Linked DNA regions of Solanum lycopersicum. The main gene of each other region encodes a partner of the protein of the gene in region 4 in a complex. Links are inferred from orthologs where the notes say so. Each region holds a gene or a part of one and is shown on either strand. Other genes may lie near its edges. The genes, in order: mediator of RNA polymerase II transcription subunit 15a, mediator of RNA polymerase II transcription subunit 21, MED18, mediator of RNA polymerase II transcription subunit 13 and probable mediator of RNA polymerase II transcription subunit 26b.

Region 1 (3,661 bases), about 9.3 Mb from region 4:
TCTTATAAAATTATAATGCCTATTGCCCTGTATCCTGCCAAAGCTTGGAATGTTTTCACTTAGCATTTCTGCTTTTCCTGTTGAACAAATTTACTCGTCTGGAAATGCGAAACTCTATCATATGATTAGGTGGGATTCAAGTGATTCACATTGTTTATAGTAACACAAAAAAGGTAGGGTGAATCCAGGCATAAAAAAAAACCCAATATGAAAATGCAAGGACCAAGTGTTTTGGGTCAATCTAAATGCTAAAGAGCCTAGCAATAAATTGAGGAGCAGTTGGGAATTCAAGTCAAAATAGTTCATAGATAGGGTTTTAGTTCACCACTAGAATATATTCACACGCTAGTTGCTACAAAAGGGATAATATTGAAACCATATAGAAAGAAGGCGTATTTTTATTGTTTCCGTATAGATTTGTACTGAGTGCTGCTCAGGCACAGTAAGGCTGAGGGACACTTAAGAGCCGGGAAGTTTGTGGTAGGGATTGGGCATTATCATATGTTGAATAAGTAGACACTGAATGACAGTCTGGTACAAAGACTGAGCAGCCAATTGAAAGTCTCAGGTTGCATATAGCATTCAATAAAATGCATTTGTCTTTATTCTAGACAGTCGTCTTATACTTAGTTCAGATTATTTAGACATACTCACAAGCTGAAAGAGTACTAAAGAAGTAAAACTCATGTCTCGTTCACATAAAGTAATGTTTGATTTTTCCATACAATATTCTATCATAGCCATCAAAGTTTTCAGAACAGAACTATAAGTGGTAGTTTGGGGTTGATGATGTTCCAGTTGCAGAAACATAATCAATAAAAATGAAAGAGCAGGCACAAGGAATGATTGTTAAAAACCACTCTGAGTCGAGTTTCAGTTTGCATGCAAGCTGAAACTTCAAGAAATATTCCACCATATTGCATTTGGTCATTCTACTCTCTCTCTAGCAGTCATGGACAAAGATCAGTTTTTACTTTTTTAACTCTAAAATGCACCTGAATGGACCTCCTTTTTCTTTTAAGAACCAATATAGTCTACCACGGAGCTCTCATGTTTGGACGTGCAGTTTTGTACTTTTATCCTGTAAGTAGGCAGCAGAAAATTACCTCTATTTTAGGTCTTTTGGCATTGGATGTTGCTGTTGACTCTAACTCAGGTGTTTCAGAATAATTCACCTGCCAGAAACTATCATTCAAACTGCTGCTTGACGACACAACGTTGGAAGTTGTATATCGCTTCATTTTCTTTGTTCCTGTAGGTCCATCCTGCGTAAAGTAGTTTCTCGCTTGGAGACGACATTTGGTCATGGCAACCAAATCTTCGCCAACAGCTGCTCTTGACCCATTTCCTGGAGCAGATCCTGCTATTCTATCATTCATACTGACAACTGAATAGATGTCTTGAACTGACGACTGCAATGCTTTGTCAGACATGTTTTTAACCTGAATGTAATAAACAAGTCAAATCAATGAAGACAGATTATTGGGATTAGTGAAGATACAAATTAAGTAGAATGGTATAATACAAACCGCTCTCATCAAGCGATCCAATGGTTGTTCAACACTTGACCTGCCAGGAACAGCAGCTGAGACATTGGCATGTGTACCATCTAGAGGAGTAAACTCAGCAAGCAAAGGTGAGGCTGATATCCCAGGAGTACCAATTGCAAGGGATTGGGCAGGTGCAGAAGCAACAGTAGCTTGCTGATGCATTATATTTCCAGCAGTGGTATGTGATCCAAGGCCAGCACCAACTTTTTCAGAATCTCCCGGCATTGGAGATGGAGCCAAGGGAGTTGAAGGAGAAGGGACAACAAACGGTGAGCTTGCGGATTGGAGAGGAGTCCCAGCTTTTGTAAGAGACGCCAACATATTTTGTTGGTCAATTTGTGGAGAAGGATGTTGGGTAACCTGAGGAGACAGTGCTTGATGGAGTTGAGGTGAAGATATTCCTGGCTTCAATTGGGGATGATGAGATCCAACACGCTGGCCAACTGACTGTTGCTGTAAAACTCCTGGTTTTATCCCCATTTGCTGCCTTATCTTTAGGTCATTAGCATCAGTCATCTGTTGAAGCTGAGACATCTGGTGGGTTGGCAACAGCGTGGTCTGCTGTTGCTTCGCTTGCTGCTGTTGTATTATCTGCTGTCTTTGAAAAAGTTGCTGCTGCATATGCCTATGGTGGTATTGCTGTCTTAATTGCTGGTTCTGCAACATTTGCTGCTCGTGCTGCTTAGGAAGTGACTGTTGCAGGGCGTTTGAATTTTGCTGTAGGGAACCGAGGTTTGCCTGTACGGGGTTTGTTCCACTTTGTGAGCTTAATGAGCTCATGTTAACTTGTTGAGGACTGTTAACAGGATTCTGTTGTAAAGAGCCAGTAGCCACCTGCTGCAGTGAGTTCAATGAATTACCCTGTCCCAAATCCACAGTGGAACCAGGCTGTACTGTATTTATCATGTGCTGCTGGGAGTTGGAAATTGTCGGTACACCAGACAAGGTATTATGTTGCAAGTTGGTGAGATTATTCTGAGGCATTGCTGCCATGGAACCCTGTGAGGGTTGCATCGACGGATTAGATTGACCATCAAGAGATGGTGGTTGCTGAAGCTGCATGGAAGACTGAGGAAGCTGTCCCTGCAGTGGAGAAGAAGAAGGCTTGCTGCGCGGCCTATTGGAACTAAGAAAGAAACTTATGTGCTTCTCAACCGAAGCCAACTTTTCCTTGTGAGAAAGTTGAATATCCTGCTTGTTAAGCCGCAAGAAAAGCACAATGCGTTCCAGCGTGATCTTGAACATCTTGAGCTTTTCAATTTGCTCATTTTGAGGACGCTGAGGAAGAGAATCATGCTTAAAATCAGGAAAAAAAAATCAGTTTAGTCAAAGTCTTGTTTCTTGCCCTTTGCAAACTTTTAAAATTCATGCTTCAAGTACACCTCCCTCCCACAGCAAAGAAAAAGGGAGAAAAACTTAAAACCAACATAAAGAGACAAATAACATAGTGGCCAGGTGCCCAATTCAACAGAATGCTGACTTAAGCGCTCTTAAAATTTAGACAAATCAAGCCCTTGCCCGAAGAATTAGGGAGGCCTTGAACCCTTCCCCAAGGGAACATAAAAGTGGCATCTACATCACAGTATTCACCTAGATATGTGTAAATAGCTCATTTTATGGTGTCCTCCACCTCTACTTTACAATCATACACAACGCTTCAACACAGGCAAACATGCTGCACCATACATAGCTAGTAGAATTGCTCCAAAAATGATAAGAATGGATTAAAATGTTGATGACATACCTGTTGCACTTTAGAAGCAATTTTGTGGTATAGATCATTGAGCTCTGCTAAGTACGACTCCTTCATAGACTTTATCTGCATTAAAAATTTGCATCAGCTCAGAATTGCGCAAATGTCAAGACTGCATTCCCATATGGAGAGGTAATAATTAGATCAACTTTCCGATACAGTAGAGAACAAACTAGAGAATCCTCATGAAAGAACCTTCCAGATAAAAAGTTAAAAGTGAAGTGGAAGCGGAAGACTAAAACTCATTAAAGAATCCATTTTGCATGATTCAACATGTGAATGAAAAAATAAACAACTGAACTTTGCTTCCTTCAGCTTCTTGGTACACGTTTCTGCTCGGTGCTAACAGCAAGGGTCT
Region 2 (4,100 bases), on a different chromosome or scaffold from region 4:
TCCGTGATAGTTTTATTTTGATAAAAATGTCTTATGTATTGTAGTCTTCAATACGTCTCCTGCGTTAGTTTCTTCATTCATGTATTGATGCCAATTGTCATATGACGTGGTTGAGTCCTTCTACCAGTCATAGTTGGACCCACGTTCTATCTAAATTTTAGCATTCAACAAACCCCGATGGCTGTAAATTCTTCTCTTCGTTGCTGTCACGCTTACATATTAGGCAGACAAGGTTTTCTATATATTTTGTGTGGTTGCTACTTGTTTTCGGCCACGCCTCAGTTCCAGCACGACAAGAAAATATTCTGGCGATATGCAATCTAAACTCCCAAAGTACCCAGACACAGCCCAAAATGTGTCTACGAATTAAAATCATCAACTCGGTAGGGTAGTTGTGCATGCCAGCTGCCATGTTTTGGGATCACATGTTTACGAAGTCAGTCTGATAATTGCATAACTTTTGACAAGTGCTGGAGCAGAGAAACTAGCCAACTTCTAAATTGAACACGTGGCACAGAAGACACTAATATTTAAGGATGTGGAGACAAAAAAACTGCTGATTTTTGCTATTTAGGCACATTATCCCTACCTCTTTTCATTCTATAAACACAGCTCTAAACCAGATACAATAGTATACTGAATTCTTTTCTTCAGCAGTGGCCAAGAACTTAAAAAAAAAATAATGTCAGAGCATGCCTAATTATAATTAGTTAATAAATGTACCCATAACAGACATGGACACAATCAATTTGTTGTTCCTCCAGGGTATATTCCAGCAAGAATGGGCTCCTCAAGCAAACTGAAATATCTACTACCTTATTCATTCTGGCTTCTTCAAGTTCAGGCAGTTATCTGTTGCTTGGTTAAACAACTCCTGGACCTGCTTTAGCTCCTTCTCTAAATCACCAAAATCAGCAAACTGAGTCTCAGAATAAACAAAAAATTAATAATACAGACAGGAAAACGGAAATTTGGACCTTAGCCTAATCAGAACAGCTTCCACTATCTTTCAGAAAGAAAGCAAGGGAAAAACAAACTCTTACCTGCAGCTTCCAGTTGTTTTTGAAGTTCTTGGCCAACTGCATCGTTCTCAGCCTACATCACATACATACACAACCGAGTAAGACTACTAAGCCCAAAATAGACAGACTAATCTTTATTTATCCTTCTTTATTTTTTTAGTTTAAATACTGTTAAGCTATAACACATCAGAATTAGAGGATGTCAAAAAGTGAATTCCACCAATTATTCACAAAGAAGCATATACCTGGAGTTCTGCAATTCTTTTCAATTGGGCTTCTTCACTCCCATCCGATAAAGGAAGAGCAGCAACCAACACATCGAACTGCTCAAAGAAGGATAAGAAAAAGAGAAGATAGATTTAATACAATGACATTGTAGCAAAGCATACACTTTAGGATCACAATGAAAATTTGCAATTGGTCTGAATTAGAGCCACACAATCCTCAAGGCTACTCTCAAGTGTCGGCTGTGCTGCTTAAGTTTGATAGGATGCTAGATTAGACAACCTCTGATTGTGAGGCCAAGAAGAAAACAAGGGAAACATAACTGTAAACTTGAACACCTTAGAACTAATCACAGGGTTGTCCATATACATTTCATAGAAGACAGCTAAAGGGCGATAAACTAGAACTCAGTTTTCCGGTTTTGACACCAGGTTTACCCGGTGAGTCTTGGCCTAGATGTCATGGTTACCAAACCTGAGAGGCTGACATCAAGTTCTCTAGTAAAAATCCCTAGAGGCATGCAATCCTGTCCAGCTAGTAGTTGGAATTTGTCCGCCATTATGTGATTCAGTCAAGTTTTATTGAAGTAGTTGGTGATGCTAATAGCATTATTGTATTTCTCGTTAAACTAAGGACAAAAGACTAGGTATTTGAACTCAACCACACTGGTCTCAGGAATCAGGACTAAGGTCTTTGAACTCAACCACGCAGGTCTCAAGTCTGAACAAACAAAGACTTAATATCATCTGGTATAGAACTGCATGTACGCATTAGATATGATGAGCCAAGATACAACTTAGTGTTATCTTGTATAGAACTGCACAAACACATCATATATCTAAAGATTTGACGTTTCCAAAAGTAAACATACTAGTCAAAAGAAGACAAAAGAAACATTATTTTGTCCAAAAATGATTTTTTGAAGGAATGGTAAGTGCATTTGTAATACAGCACCAAGAAGGTGCAATCAACAACATTTACAGGGAACACAAAGATATACCTTCCTATTCTTAAAGGGATTCTACAAGTTCAATCACTTATTCAGGCTCATTTACAAAAAAAATGTCTACACAAAAAAGGAAACTAAACTAAATAGTTTATCTTGATCTTCCGAAAAAAGAGAAAATTCCCTATTCTCGAAGTACACGCAGATTACTTTTATACCCTGGTCTGTGGCTTGTTCATATTCGTTGATGAATAAGCAGAAAAAGTGAAGGTATGGAGTATGGAGTTTCACCTGCTTGGCAGCCTTAACAAAAGCAGCACTCATTTGCTTTGGTTGTTCTGCAACATTAGCTGAGTCTTCTGTGGGATTAGCAGGTGGAGGTTCTGGATAATTAGGTGATAGACGCACAGGAGGGGCGTCCCTCTGAAGAGTACCAAAGGTGTTGAAAGCAAGAGCTGCAATTGTATTTACTTGTTCCTGTAACTGTGATATGATATCCATCTTCCAAATCCTTCCCTTTATTGCTAACAAAAATGGTGAATTTTGAGAAAAGATCGAACAAAGGAATAGAAAACAGAGGAGAAGAACTTACCTGAAAACCCTAGAATTGGAGGTCCGGGTAGAGCCGAAGTAGATTCGATAATCTGTTACAATTGTTTTAAAATTAGACCTAAAATTAACCATTATTTCAATTAAATTTTACGAAAAATGCTCAAAAATATTTCTGAATTATCCGAATTAGCTCACATATATCTTTAAATTAAATTCTAGCCCTTCTATTAAAGTATTGAGTTATTTTTACCCTTAATTTTAACAAAGGTGTGTTAAGTGTCACCTGAACGCCACGTGGACACCATATGGATGCCACATGAGCACCAAAAAACATCATCTCCATGTAGACTCATAAATCTTAATTATTAATTTTTTTCTCATTTTCATTCATTTTACTTCTCTAAAACATAATACGATTTCCCTTTTTTTTTCTTAGACGATTTTCTCTCTTATACGATTTTCCCCAGGATTTTACAAATTTCTCTTATGAACGCCATTGAATTTCTGAGTAAATTTCGTCACTTTCTGAGTTTCACCGTTCTTATAGATAATGCACAAACACCAGTCCTAATTTGTAAAGTAACATGCACAAACACCAGTCATAACTCTTCACATTTACTTGTTTTTATTTTAAACCTTTCAACATAAAGTCTGACTTTATCATTATCAAGTGAGCGCTTAAATGACATAAAATGCAACAAAAATAATTTAGCTTTACTATTTTTTTTAATTGTTTTTTTTTTGTTGTTGTAATTTAGGCTTTGAAAAGATGCACGTGGTCAGCATACGACATCTTAGATCAGACACCACAAAAAATTAAAAAAGAAACAAATAAAATTTATGTTTGCCTTCTCATCCTGCTTCTTTCTATCTTCTAAGCATCAACTATGGCTTCTCTTCTCACCAACGGAATCTCACACTTCTGTCCTCAATCCATCGCTGAGCAGCCTAAACTCCCAAAAGGGTATAACTTTTTGCCTAATTCACCCGGCCCCAAAATCTCAAATCCAGGTAATTTCAAGATTAAAGCTGCTGATGCGAAGGCCACTGTTGAAGTTCCAGGTAAAGAATCATCTTTATCAATCTCAAATGAAGGCGACCCACTTCAGAAATTCTTGAAAAGAGACTATAAATGGGGTTTTAATGAAAATATTGAATCTTTTGCGCTGCCAAAAGGGCTTTCGGAGGATACTATTAGGTTAATTTCATCAAGAAAGAATGAGCCTGAATGGATGCTTGAGTATAGATTGAAATCGTATGAGAAATTTGTTAAAATGAAAGAGCCGAAATGGTCTGATAATCAGTACCCAGAAATTGATTTTCAGAATATTTGTTATTATTCAGAACCTAAAAAG
Region 3 (4,250 bases), on a different chromosome or scaffold from region 4:
TAACCAGCTACCTAACACACCTAAGGTTCTTTGCGACAAATTTATGTATAAAAATATGCACTTTAGAAATCCGCATATAACTAATACAAATATAAGTTATGAGAAAAATTTGTGTATTTATTCTATGCCTGACATAAGATAGATAACTGACAGTTGCATAATTCTAACCGGCTCCCAAACGACACCTAAGGTTCTTTGCAATGATTTCAATGTATAAAAGTCCGCAATTTAGAAAGCTACATGACTAATACATATATAAGCTACGAAGAAATTTATATATTATTTTATGCCGGACATAAAAAATAACTGCATAATTCTAACTAGTTACCAAACGAAACCTAAGTTTCTTATCAACAAATTCATATCTCTATTTGCTACAATTATGATGTTTTTCTACATATAAAAATTTTTACTCTGAATTTTGTATGAATAATCTATATCCATTCCCCTTCAGTTTAAACTAAAAACAAACTCAAAACCCAGAATTAAAATTCAAATAAATTTCAAAGAATGAAAAAAGATGGAAATATAATTACAAGGGGATGAAGCAATTGGGACACTTGTATCTCGACTGTGCTTCATCACATACTTGACATTTTTTCGATCCCATTATTTCTTCTTCTTCTTCGTTATCGAGGTTTTAGGGTTTTTTCTGGAAGAGGTGGAATGTAAAATTGCAATATTGGTCCCTGAATTTTGAGTTTAGATTCAATCGGGTTCTTACAATTTTATCAAATTATACTTTGAGTCGCTTAATTAATTATGGGCCTAAACTCGAATTCGGGTCCAAAATTTTCAAACCATTTTCTCTTCTGCTAAGTACCACTTTTCTCTAATAATTCTACGAGATACTCGTCACTTTCTATAATAATCATTTTTCGTAAAAGGAATCAAATCATTTTATTCATTTATATAGAAAGAATTTTGCAATAATTAATTTTCGTAAAAAGTATCAAATTATTTTATCCATTCATATAGAAAGAATTTCGTGTTATCAATTTTCGTAAAAGGTATCAAAATCATTTTATCAAAGAATTTCGTAATAATCAATTTTTCGTATAAGGTATCAAATTATTTTATCCATTCCTATAGAAAGAATCCATTAATATTTTTTAATTAATTATATAAGATACTAATCAAATTTTCGTAACAGACATTTATCCACTCGTATGAAAAGAATCCGCTAATATTTTCAATTGATTCTACGAGATACTTGTCACTTTTCGCAATAGGTATTATTCCAACCCTATGTCTTGAGTTTCGACTTTTTTGATATTTTCGACCACTTCATTGAGCACTAAATCACCATATTATCTCTGTTACTGCTAATTGTTTTGGTTTCTCTCAGCCATAGCTTGCATTACTAAACCTTAATTTTACAATTGATCGTAGAAACATATTTTTCTTGCTAGAAAAAATCTCTCTTTGGCTCGTTTTTACTGTTGATTTTTTGTTATGTGATTAATTGGACCTTGTTTGATGTAGAAACCTAGATTTTTTTGTTACAATTGGACCTTGTTTGATGTAGAAAACTGGATTTTTTGTTACAATTGGACCTTGTTTGATATAGAAACCTAGATTTCTAGCTAGAATTTTTTTTTCTTTGGCTCGTTGTTATCGTTGATTTTTTGTTATGTGATTAATTTAGGTCTGCCTGTTTAAGCTTTCGAACTATTTTTTTTAATTGAATTTTTGCAGCTCAGATTGGGGGAAAAAGTGAGATTGCTTCAACTGTTCAAGGTAATTCTTTCAATTTTTTGCTCTGATGTTTTATGTTTAGTTCTACAATGCTAAATGATTGTGTTTTATATGTCATACAATAGTGTGTATAGATGATAAAATTTGGAGTTTGATGTAGAAACTTTGAAAAAACAGATGTATAACAATAAAGATATGTTAAACAAAGATCAAATTGTACAGGCACTAGAAAAATCATATTTTGATGCCAAAATAGTCGAAAAAAACCAAAGGCAACATATACCATATAGTCCAAGGTATTGTCTTTTCTTCACCCATTCTTCTCCTTTTCCATTTTCTCTTTCTTTCCTCCATTTTTGTAGTCATTCGTTGTTTTTGCTGAGCACATGCTCCATCATATAACAATGACAACAACATACCTTGTGAAATCCCACAAGTGGACTATGGGGAGGATAGAATGTATATATGTTGTTGTACGTATGTAGAAAATATTTGCCAAACAGGAGTTAAGCTATGTGTCCAAGTGACTAATTTTCCACATGAAAAGAATCACCCATGGTGGAGTGACTTCATTGATAAAACTTGATACCATTCCAGCACTACTACCTATTTCTTTGAAGAAACTTAGTAAAACTTAAGGTTGTTTGGTCATAGCCTAATGAAAGGAGCAAGTTTGACAGTTTTTGGTGCATATTGGATCATTAGAAGTTTCATGCTTAAAATCTTGGTGAGAATTTGGGTGTACCAAAAGACAAGTAATGACCAAATGCTTAAATTTCTAATTATGGATGGAAAAGGCAATAATTGAAGACCACCCCAAAATAGGGGCAATCCGGGCAAAAACTTTAAGCCTCAATCCAAAACTAAATTCATATTAAGATCCATTAATCTTCAAGCAATGCACTTCTCATACAAAGAGTGTCAACTTTGTTATGATTTTGGTTAGGTGTTAGCTTTTTCGTTGTTACTCTTCTGTTAAACTTAATATCTTTTTGGTTCATAGGTATGTTCTAAAGAGTTCTTTGCATGTAGGTTTGAATAAATTGAAGTGCGAATGGAGTGTGTGGTTCAGGGAATTATTGAGACTCAAGTAAGTTCCTGGAGTAATGATAAAACCTCCCCCTATTTCTCGTTTTTTTCTTATTCAATCTTTTAGAAGGTATGCTACTTGTAAAAGGTATACTACGGCATTTACTGAAACAGTTTTTGGCAATTGATTATTGAAAAGATCTTGACAGTGCTAATCATACTTGCAGCATGTCGAGGCCCTGGAAATTCTGCTTCAAGGGCTTTGTGGTGTACATAAACAAAGCTTAAGGATTCATGAACTGTGCCTTAAAAGTGTCCCTAACCTAGGTAAGTGTATTTTCTCTTTGAACTATTATGGAACTAGGAACTAACCCAATGGTCATGTATGTACTGATGTGGCTGAGGCAAATGCTCACAACCATCTATGCATTCGTAGGGAGGTTTTCTCACCTTTGAGTTTGTACATAGCTGATAATTTTTTTATGGTCCATCTTATTCTAGTTGTACTGTGGTGCTGCATGTCAATTATTGAATGGAATTAGGTTCAAGTATGATTCACTTTCAGTACATCTAATTTATAGGTCGAGACCACATGGTTTTTGCTCATTCACTTGTTGACTGTTGAGTGCCTTGTTTTCAACAAAGTGTTGCCTATCATGGTTTTGTCGATGATACAGATGTGATTCTCTGCGATGATGTACATGTGATTCTTTGACATGTTGATGAGGGTAACGTCGGAGTATTAAAACAATGCTTGTTTCCTGTTAAAGATAGTATGGCAGATGTTGATCCCACAAGGATTGAGTTTCTGCTATCCTAATTAGTGTTGCTCAATTACTATTCGAGTAATCAGATAAGCAGGCGGAATGTTTTTGACTAAAATGAAATATAAATAAGAGTTCTATGACATGAATGATGGTGAAAGAGTATCCATCAGTTCATTAAACGAGTTGAATATAGACTTTTTTGTTCTAATCAGAAGGAGTTGAATCTAGACTTCACTTATGATTAGTGTATGGTGTTCACTGTCCACCAATCAATATTGATCTCTAAGTTATAAGTGCCTCTCTCTATTACACTCAACATTGATTATTCCTCTCGCTTGTAGTAATATCTAAGGAAATAGAAAACCTTAAATTCAGAGCACCTTCAGCTAATCACCTTCCAAATCACTGGTGTATATCTCGATTACATCTAACTACTATAACCTTCTTGGCTAAGTGTATTTCTTTTTATTATAATAGTCAAGGTATTATTATACCTTAAATATGGAAGACGGTTGATTAATTAACCTTGGCTCCCACAAATATATGTTGACCCCTTGTGGTTGTCTACGCATTTGTCATATCATCATCACAATTCATAAAGTATGTTGAAGACTGATTTCTCCTCTTGGTTAGACAAGGAAAAAAAGCAAACTATGATCATTCAAACGTAATTGGGAAAATAATGGAGTCCAGTGACCTCTCTAGATCAGAAGTTTGAATTGCAGAACAAATGGTTTGAATCAAATTAATAATTGT
Region 4 (3,189 bases):
GGTTACATGTGTAATCTACTCTGGGAAGTAAAGAATAATGCTTTATGGATTGATTGATGAACTGAAGTTTCGTTTGAAGCTTTAAAACTGAATTGCAGAATTTGACAAAATGTCTGAGCTTTACTGGAGCAAGAAACAGCTTCAACATCTCAATCTCAAGCCTTGGCACATTGGACTATTAGATCAATTGACTAATACAAAATATAAGCTAGCTCTAGAAATCTCGAATCCAAAGCCTAGGTAAAAATTTCGAAATATTCTGATATGAATCCAAATTTAATGGTGACAACAAGTGAGACTAGTTTGCTTTTCATAATCCAACATTAGTAATGATGTGGTTGGTTACCTTATTCATACCTGCATAAATCAACTTTACAATATGCCTATGTTAATTGTCATTTTTGTTGCCCATTTGAGTTTTGAAATGGCCAAATGATCTATTTAGATAAACGAACACACATTTTAATCCACTAGTAAAGTACCGACACTTATATTAACTTTTGAAACTTGTGATCATAAAGCACTTATACGACTGCTAGAGCTAGTCATTTTTGATAAATAATATCATTATTAGTTTGAGATTGGTAGTGTTCATGCCTTCCATCTTTGTTTATATTTAGCATAAGTAAAATGAAAACAAGACCAGAGAACAGATTAGTCCCCTCAAAGAAATTAAATGGAAAATACAAAGGCAAAACTTTGCCATTTTCAAGGATTCAAAGTACAGATGACACATCATTTCTCCAAACTAGCCTAACTTGAGATCCCCATTTCCCATGCACTAAGCACTGCTATTCAGCAATTAAAAAAATGAACTAAGAGTCACAAATCTGCTGTCTAGTAAAACCATCCTGTCATCAAGTGCCTTGGAATGTTGTAAAGATAATGAGGGACTCGAGCACTTGATAGTATTTTTAGGACTAAAGAATTGTGTACTCAACTCTTTGGATCCCTGTAATAGTTTACATGACATTATGTACAAAATAAAAATCTACTATCCTACAACTACTAATTTATCCCAAGGTAACACTTCTCAGAAAGGATGTTCTCCAGCGAACTAGTATATGCATTTTGTGTTTACAGTCTGTTTCTATAACGAAACAAAGACACAAGATGGACGGCTTGAACAAGTTGTGTGTATGCTGCAATTTACACGTATCCTAAACTTGGCTTTTCACAGGTTGCCGAGAAACTTCCTTATCGGCAAAGTGAAGCAGTCTCCGAAGCCTTAATACCATGTCACAATGTAAAGGCAAAGCAGATCTTCTCTCCAAGTATGCCGGACTTACAGTCATCCATGATAAAGCATGGAGCTCTGCAGCTATGTTCTCAAGAATCAAGTGAGCTGCTATTTCAACATCTCTTGTTTCCGAACCTGTACCCCTTCCCCCAACCTTACCAACACCCTTCAAAAACTTTTCATGGATGACGTTGCTGCCACCATAGTAATCAACGAGGCTGACAGAAAGAACTGAGGGCCATTCTTCTTTTGAGATACTCCTTACATCTCTCCTCATTGTAGGTACAGCTTTTGAAACCACAAAACCTGTTGAAAGGGGAATGGCACATCCCTTGCTGTGGAGAAGATGGGCAAGTGGTGGTGATTCAGCAGTCAGGCAAGTAGGAAGCTGAAGACTGACAGGAGGTAGGAATCTCATACTGGGTGACGGAATTAGAATGTAGGAGGTGGACGTAGAACCAAGGGACTTAACTGGGGTATAACCTTCAAGATAACCTGGCTGACTCATAATGCCACTACTTTGACTTGTTCCTGCAAAATTTATACCATGCATGAATATGAAACAGAAATAACCAGGCATAAAAATGTCAACTGATGACAAATCAAAAGAAAATATTTTTTTAATGGATTCTCATATGGTAAGCCCCAACATCACCACTACCCAAAAGAAGAACCTGACACAGAAGTGCAATGGTAACCCTATCCCACTTTACTCCCTTGGTAACCCATATCCCAACGACAATTCCTTAACCTACACTATTCCTCCCTTTACTTCATATAATCTTAGTATCTCCTCTACAGCCCATATTGTAAATAAGAGAATCTAAAAGAAAGCCACAGTCAACTCTATCAGAGAACAGGTAGTCTGAAAAAAAAAACAAAAAAAGAAGAGAGGAATTGTAAGGAATTGTACCATGACTTGTCGAGTCCGCTTGAATCATAAGCTGTAAGGAATGGTCAATAGAAAGAGAGACAAAACTAATGCTTTGCACCAACTGAAGTAAGCCCCTGGAGTTGTCCACTACACCCTGTCCGCCAATTAACTGCTTCCTTGTGGATGGTTGACCTAAGCCACCTTTCATGAAAGAGGAAGCCTTTGAGTGAGAACTGTACAATGGACTAGGGGAGGAAGGAAGTGCTCTTTCTTGAATCAGACCTATTTCCTGTTGCTGCAAGGATGTCCCATTACTACTTGCAGTCATTCCATCAGGCACAGATCGCCTTAGCTGCAGAGACCATTTCTTCACCTCAGATCCCCCAATTGAATACAGGGCTTTCTGCCATTCTGCGTCCAGAAAATTGCATTAATAAGATAAGCATGATTGATAAATCAAACAGAAACTTCATTTTAGTCGCTCAAATCAAAACCAACCAAGGTTATACTTTATCAAGATATTCATCATATCCCACACAGATATATTAGAATTAAATTGTTTGTGTTCCACAGCCAAACCAAAAAATAAAAAATAAAAAAAAATAGATCAGCTAAAACTTTGTCGCAATTAAAGACGGAGACAGCAAGTCAGATTCATCAAAATTCAACACCAATGAGTATTATGATGTAACAAAAGTAGACAGTAAGCACAAGATATTGATGACAAATGTTTACCCTGGCATTCAAGCTCAAGGAAGCATCCTATACGAGCAATGACAAAATCCCTAGGCTTGGCAATGGCAGCCTCAGGTGGACATGACTGAAGGATCTGACATCCTTGTTGCAGAATTTGCACAAACAAAGATTGCAGACCTTTCGTATCCTGCCTACTACTTATTCCCCCAAATGGATATATATGATTATCAAGCAATTCTCCCCTGGAATCTGTCCATATACACACCAGCCAGCGCCAATCTTCAGTCCAACCATAACAACAATGCAGGCTTGGAAGTGATTTTTGATGTGCAGATCCAAAACCATCTGGTACAGATGTTTCAGACTGAGTGTTCAGTCC
Region 5 (4,111 bases), on a different chromosome or scaffold from region 4:
CAACATGTTAGTTAACTCGTAGACAAAAGTTCAAACCTTTGCGATAAAAACAAATTCAGCACTCGATAAATAAAGCAATGACCATCATTAGTATGCATCGATGATTGAGTTATGATGGAATCTTCATTAAAGATAACATCAATTAAAGAAAAACGGTAAGCGACAAACAGTGGCAAGCGTTAAGAAGTAATAATAGCTCAAAACTACAACCGACAAAGCAAGCTGCCAGAGCCGCCAAAAAGACATGTTAGTTCAACTCAAAGACAAAAGATCAAACCTTTGCGATAAAAACAAATTCAGCACTCGATAAATGAAGCAATCACCATCATTAGTATGCATTGATGATTGAGTTATGATGAAATCTTAATTTTACGGTAAAGATAAACGGTAAGCGACAAACAGTTGCAAGCGTTAAAAAGTAATAATAGCTTCAAAACTACAACCGACAAAGCAAGCTGCCAGAGCCACCAATACGACATGTTAGTTCAACTCGAAGACAAAAGTTCAAACCTTTGCGATAAAACAAATTCAGCCACATTAAAGATACCCCGGATCAGACTACTAGAACTGTGTTGTGCATACATATTTTGACGACATTCTTACAGTTATTTCAGCAATAAAGCAAGAGTTACTTACTCAATCAATGTCCGAGATAGATGCCGAACATCCTTTGAGTTGTGCTTTCTGAGAGAATTAACCGACTTTCCAATCTCTGTGGCCTGATATAGAAGCAATCAATTATGTCCATCCAGAATAAATTTAAAAAACAGTAACCACAATAAATGGAAGATGAAATTTTGGAAGCGTCAAAAGATCAAACCTTTAAAGTCTCCACAGACAAAGCCATTAGTTGAAGCCTTCTTAAGCACTCAAACAACTCTGCAGACTGTCAAAAAGAACAATAACTCAAAACCCGATTACTAGAGGAAAGCTCAAAACTACCAAGCAAGTGAAATAGCAAAAGATATAAAGAGTTTAAAAGTAGCTTCATACATTGTTTTAAAGCTAAAGAAAGCAACATCCTTGTACAACTAGATCAAAGGAACAAAAAGGGGGCAAAAAGGAAATGAAAAGCATAAAGGTTTCCTAACTGTGACATGAAAACAACCTCATATCAGATTTTCCAGTTATAGACACTAGTAGAGAAAATAGAATCACCATCAAATTCAACCACAAAAGTTCTAAAATCTTACAACATTAGCTCAATTATCAAGATTCTTCTTCCTGATCAACCCCACAAGAACAGAAATTTCAAATCATTAAATTCAACCATAAAAGTAACCATTGTTATATGTCATACAACACCAGAAACTCCAAAAATTTAACAACATTTAAGCTCAATTATCAAGATTTTCTTCTTGATCAACCCCAAAAGTACACAAACTTCAAATTCACATACACAGAGTCCACCAATTCTTGACTGAACAAATCCAAACACAGCAAAATACTTCAAATCAACAGTATAACCAAAATTCAATAGAGATGAAATGAACCTCAGCTTGGTTGTTATCAATGACATCTTTGATCCTCATCACCTCCCCAAAAGTCTGAGTCTCTTCCTCCATTTCCTCAGTTAATGCCTCAGCTTCTCCATAACTATAATTGCTAACTTGATTCACATTCATCTCAACATCATGATGATCTATCCTACTGTTAACTTTGCTCTCTTTACTACCACCAAACTCATCCTTACTCTTAATTTTTCCTTCATCATCATTACCAGCAATTGGTACAGCTAAATCAACTTTCTCACAACCAAAACACATAGTAACTTTACATGTAAACAACATTTCAGCAATTCTATCCCTTCTCATTTTAAATTCCTTTGGACAATCAACAGCAGCAACCATCACTGCATACTCAATTATATCAAATATATCCGAATTTGCAGTACGAAAATAGTCCCTCCATTTATCCAAAGTCCCACTACTCTTCGCCATAACTGATGATTCAGAGCAAAAACAAATCAACCCAGATCGTAAAATCAATTATTTATCAATACCCAAATATACAAATTCAATCTTTATCCGATTTTAATTATACCCACAAGAAAATCATACAAATTCTAATCGGAAACAAGGTTTTTAGCAATAAAAACCTCTGGTTTTCCGATTAGGTACTTTTTCCGATGATCGGAAACTGAATAATCAGTGTCACCGGCGATTCAGTTCTGCAAAATGCAATCGGATACAGATTTTTATGCTTTTTTTTTAGGAAAAATCCATATGATAGAAACTCTATAAACCCAAAATGACAAAACAAAATTAAAAAAATTAAATAAAAATCCGATTAAGTTTTTGGTGAGATATAAGAAGAGAAATCTAGAAAAAATTATTCCGATTGAAAGAAATTTTTCCAGAGAAAAAGAATATATGTTAAAAAAAAAGTATAGAAGATTTTCTCTCTCTAGCTATCTTTTATTATTTTAATTATATTTCTCTCTCTGTAAAAAAAAAAGCAATACAAGGTGCTGGTTCAAAGAGACACGAGAGAGAGGAAGAAAAAATATTGTTTTTTCTCTGTTGGGGGTGGGGGGTAGGGGTTAGGGGTAGGTGATAAGGATCAATTTTCTTCGGTCATTAGCATGGATCGTGGTGAGATGGTTCTGATTCCTTCATTTTTAACTCGAGAGATTGTCAGTATATAAAATATATATTTTAAGTATGAATAAGTGTGAAATTTGAACTAATCGAATTCTGATATGTATATAGAATGGAAATTGGATTTTGAAAACTTCTTTTATGGATGAAATTCATAAGGATAACTTTGATGATGACAACGATAACGATGAGAATAACATATTTGATATAGGTTCATAAGTAAAGTTTAAAGAAATGATATGGATATAGATTTTATTCATATCTCTTTGACATAGAAAAACTATTTTTAACTGTGTTCAGTTCAAAGAAGGATGATAAGAAATAAATAAATATAGTGACATAATATAGAAAAACAATAAAAGAAAAATCTGAAAGGAAATGATTTTTATTTTCAAGTTAAGGAAGTGATTTATCTCTTTGCTTTGAAGTAGTTTTCTTTTTTTATATATGTTTTTTTTTATGGAATTACAAAATAATATATCCTCTTCATTTATTTTTATTTATCTATTTTTAATATATTTCGTAATAATAATAATAATTTTGTTGTGAATATATTAATTGATGAATGATGTATAGTCTTGGATATTGAAAAATGAGCAAGGAGTAAGCAATTAATATCGATGGTAAAATAAGAAAAAAATGTTATTTTTTATATATTAAAAGTAAGAAAATAAAAAATAAAAAAATATTTAAAGTATGTTTTAATTGATTTATTTTTATATAAAAAGAAATATAAGTTGTTAAAATAATAAGATGCTTAATTAATACGGATAAATATATATTCACATTGTTTATTTTAATTTTTAAGAAAAAGTCTTATTACGTTTGATTCGTATAAAATGTCATATTTACATTAAATTTTTTTATCATAATACTGTCTGTTTATAAAAAATATCATAATATTATATTAAATTCAAATTTCAATGACAAACTATTGTTATTTGATACTATTATTCATTTGGAGTTTTATTTTTTTACTTCAAATAAAAAAGGTAAATTTTTTATTTATATAAAGTTTAACTTAAATTTTCTCCAATTTATCTTTGCCTTTTTAAAAATAGCAAGTGGACTAAAAAATTAATTCTCCTGTTTTAGTCTTATACCACCCTTTGTTATATTAGATTTTTTCATGTTGTTTCCTTTTTTGTAGTTTATAAATCATAATATGTTATATATAAATTTATATTTCTTTTTATATTTTAATGAACAAGTTATTGTTATGTGAAATTATTATAATTATTTATTTAGGACTTGTTCGTTCTTTGATTAACTTAAAATTAGAAAAAGAGTTTCAATAAAGATGTTATTATCCTTAAAATCCTAATAAACATACAAATTACTTATTTTTGCATTGTATTTTGTAAATAAAAGTACCATATAATTTTTTTTATTTGTTGAAGTTTGTAATTTCTATTGCTAGTGTTGTATAGTAGATTTTCTTTCTATTTCGAAAGAATTTAATTTATAATACTAAATAAATATACGAAGGAATTAAACTTCATTAAAAAAAC

Evidence for each region.
Region 1: mediator of RNA polymerase II transcription subunit 13 (region 4) and mediator of RNA polymerase II transcription subunit 15a share a complex: the UniProt entries of both Arabidopsis thaliana proteins name them as parts of the mediator complex. The link is inferred for Solanum lycopersicum from reciprocal best matches to the Arabidopsis thaliana genes GCT and NRB4.
Region 2: mediator of RNA polymerase II transcription subunit 13 (region 4) and mediator of RNA polymerase II transcription subunit 21 share a complex: the UniProt entries of both Arabidopsis thaliana proteins name them as parts of the mediator complex. The link is inferred for Solanum lycopersicum from reciprocal best matches to the Arabidopsis thaliana genes GCT and MED21.
Region 3: mediator of RNA polymerase II transcription subunit 13 (region 4) and MED18 share a complex: the UniProt entries of both Arabidopsis thaliana proteins name them as parts of the mediator complex. The link is inferred for Solanum lycopersicum from reciprocal best matches to the Arabidopsis thaliana genes GCT and AT2G22370.
Region 5: mediator of RNA polymerase II transcription subunit 13 (region 4) and probable mediator of RNA polymerase II transcription subunit 26b share a complex: the UniProt entries of both Arabidopsis thaliana proteins name them as parts of the mediator complex. The link is inferred for Solanum lycopersicum from reciprocal best matches to the Arabidopsis thaliana genes GCT and AT5G05140.

Annotation. Positions count from the first base shown.
Region 1 is NC_090803.1:3,498,753-3,502,413, reverse strand, and holds part of mediator of RNA polymerase II transcription subunit 15a, read right to left. Parts: intron 3,370-3,661; coding exon 3,295-3,369; intron 2,847-3,294; coding exon 1,530-2,846; intron 1,443-1,529; coding exon 1,107-1,442; intron 1-1,106. UniProt on the Arabidopsis thaliana protein: Component of the Mediator complex, a coactivator involved in the regulated transcription of nearly all RNA polymerase II-dependent genes.
Region 2 is NC_090801.1:60,839,826-60,843,925, forward strand, and holds mediator of RNA polymerase II transcription subunit 21, read right to left. Parts: upstream 2,695-4,100; coding exon 2,485-2,694; intron 1,346-2,484; coding exon 1,268-1,345; intron 1,096-1,267; coding exon 1,044-1,095; intron 920-1,043; coding exon of another isoform or gene 912-919; exon of another isoform or gene 898-911; coding exon 821-897; 3' UTR 540-820; downstream 1-539. Other genes in the region: iron-sulfur cluster assembly SufBD family protein ABCI8, chloroplastic, read left to right, coding at 3,633-4,100. UniProt on the Arabidopsis thaliana protein: Component of the Mediator complex, a coactivator involved in the regulated transcription of nearly all RNA polymerase II-dependent genes.
Region 3 is NC_090805.1:1,887,952-1,892,201, reverse strand, and holds the start of MED18 (mediator of RNA polymerase II transcription subunit 18), read left to right. Parts: upstream 1-1,346; 5' UTR 1,347-1,740; intron 1,741-1,920; exon of another isoform or gene 1,921-1,994; intron 1,995-2,730; 5' UTR 2,731-2,752; coding exon 2,753-2,788; intron 2,789-2,954; coding exon 2,955-3,054; intron 3,055-4,250. Other genes in the region: ZNHIT (zinc finger HIT-type containing protein), read right to left, coding at 537-610. UniProt on the Arabidopsis thaliana protein: Component of the Mediator complex, a coactivator involved in the regulated transcription of nearly all RNA polymerase II-dependent genes.
Region 4 is NC_090803.1:12,755,459-12,758,647, reverse strand, and holds the end of mediator of RNA polymerase II transcription subunit 13, read right to left. Parts: coding exon 2,850-3,189; intron 2,526-2,849; coding exon 2,154-2,525; intron 1,772-2,153; coding exon 1,161-1,771; 3' UTR 655-1,160; downstream 1-654. Other genes in the region: pentatricopeptide repeat-containing protein At2g35030, mitochondrial, read right to left, coding at 1-148. UniProt on the Arabidopsis thaliana protein: Component of the Mediator complex, a coactivator involved in the regulated transcription of nearly all RNA polymerase II-dependent genes.
Region 5 is NC_090809.1:61,266,008-61,270,118, forward strand, and holds the start of probable mediator of RNA polymerase II transcription subunit 26b, read right to left. Parts: upstream 2,908-4,111; 5' UTR 1,941-2,907; coding exon 1,494-1,940; intron 887-1,493; coding exon 821-886; intron 720-820; coding exon 637-719; intron 1-636. UniProt on the Arabidopsis thaliana protein: Component of the Mediator complex, a coactivator involved in the regulated transcription of nearly all RNA polymerase II-dependent genes.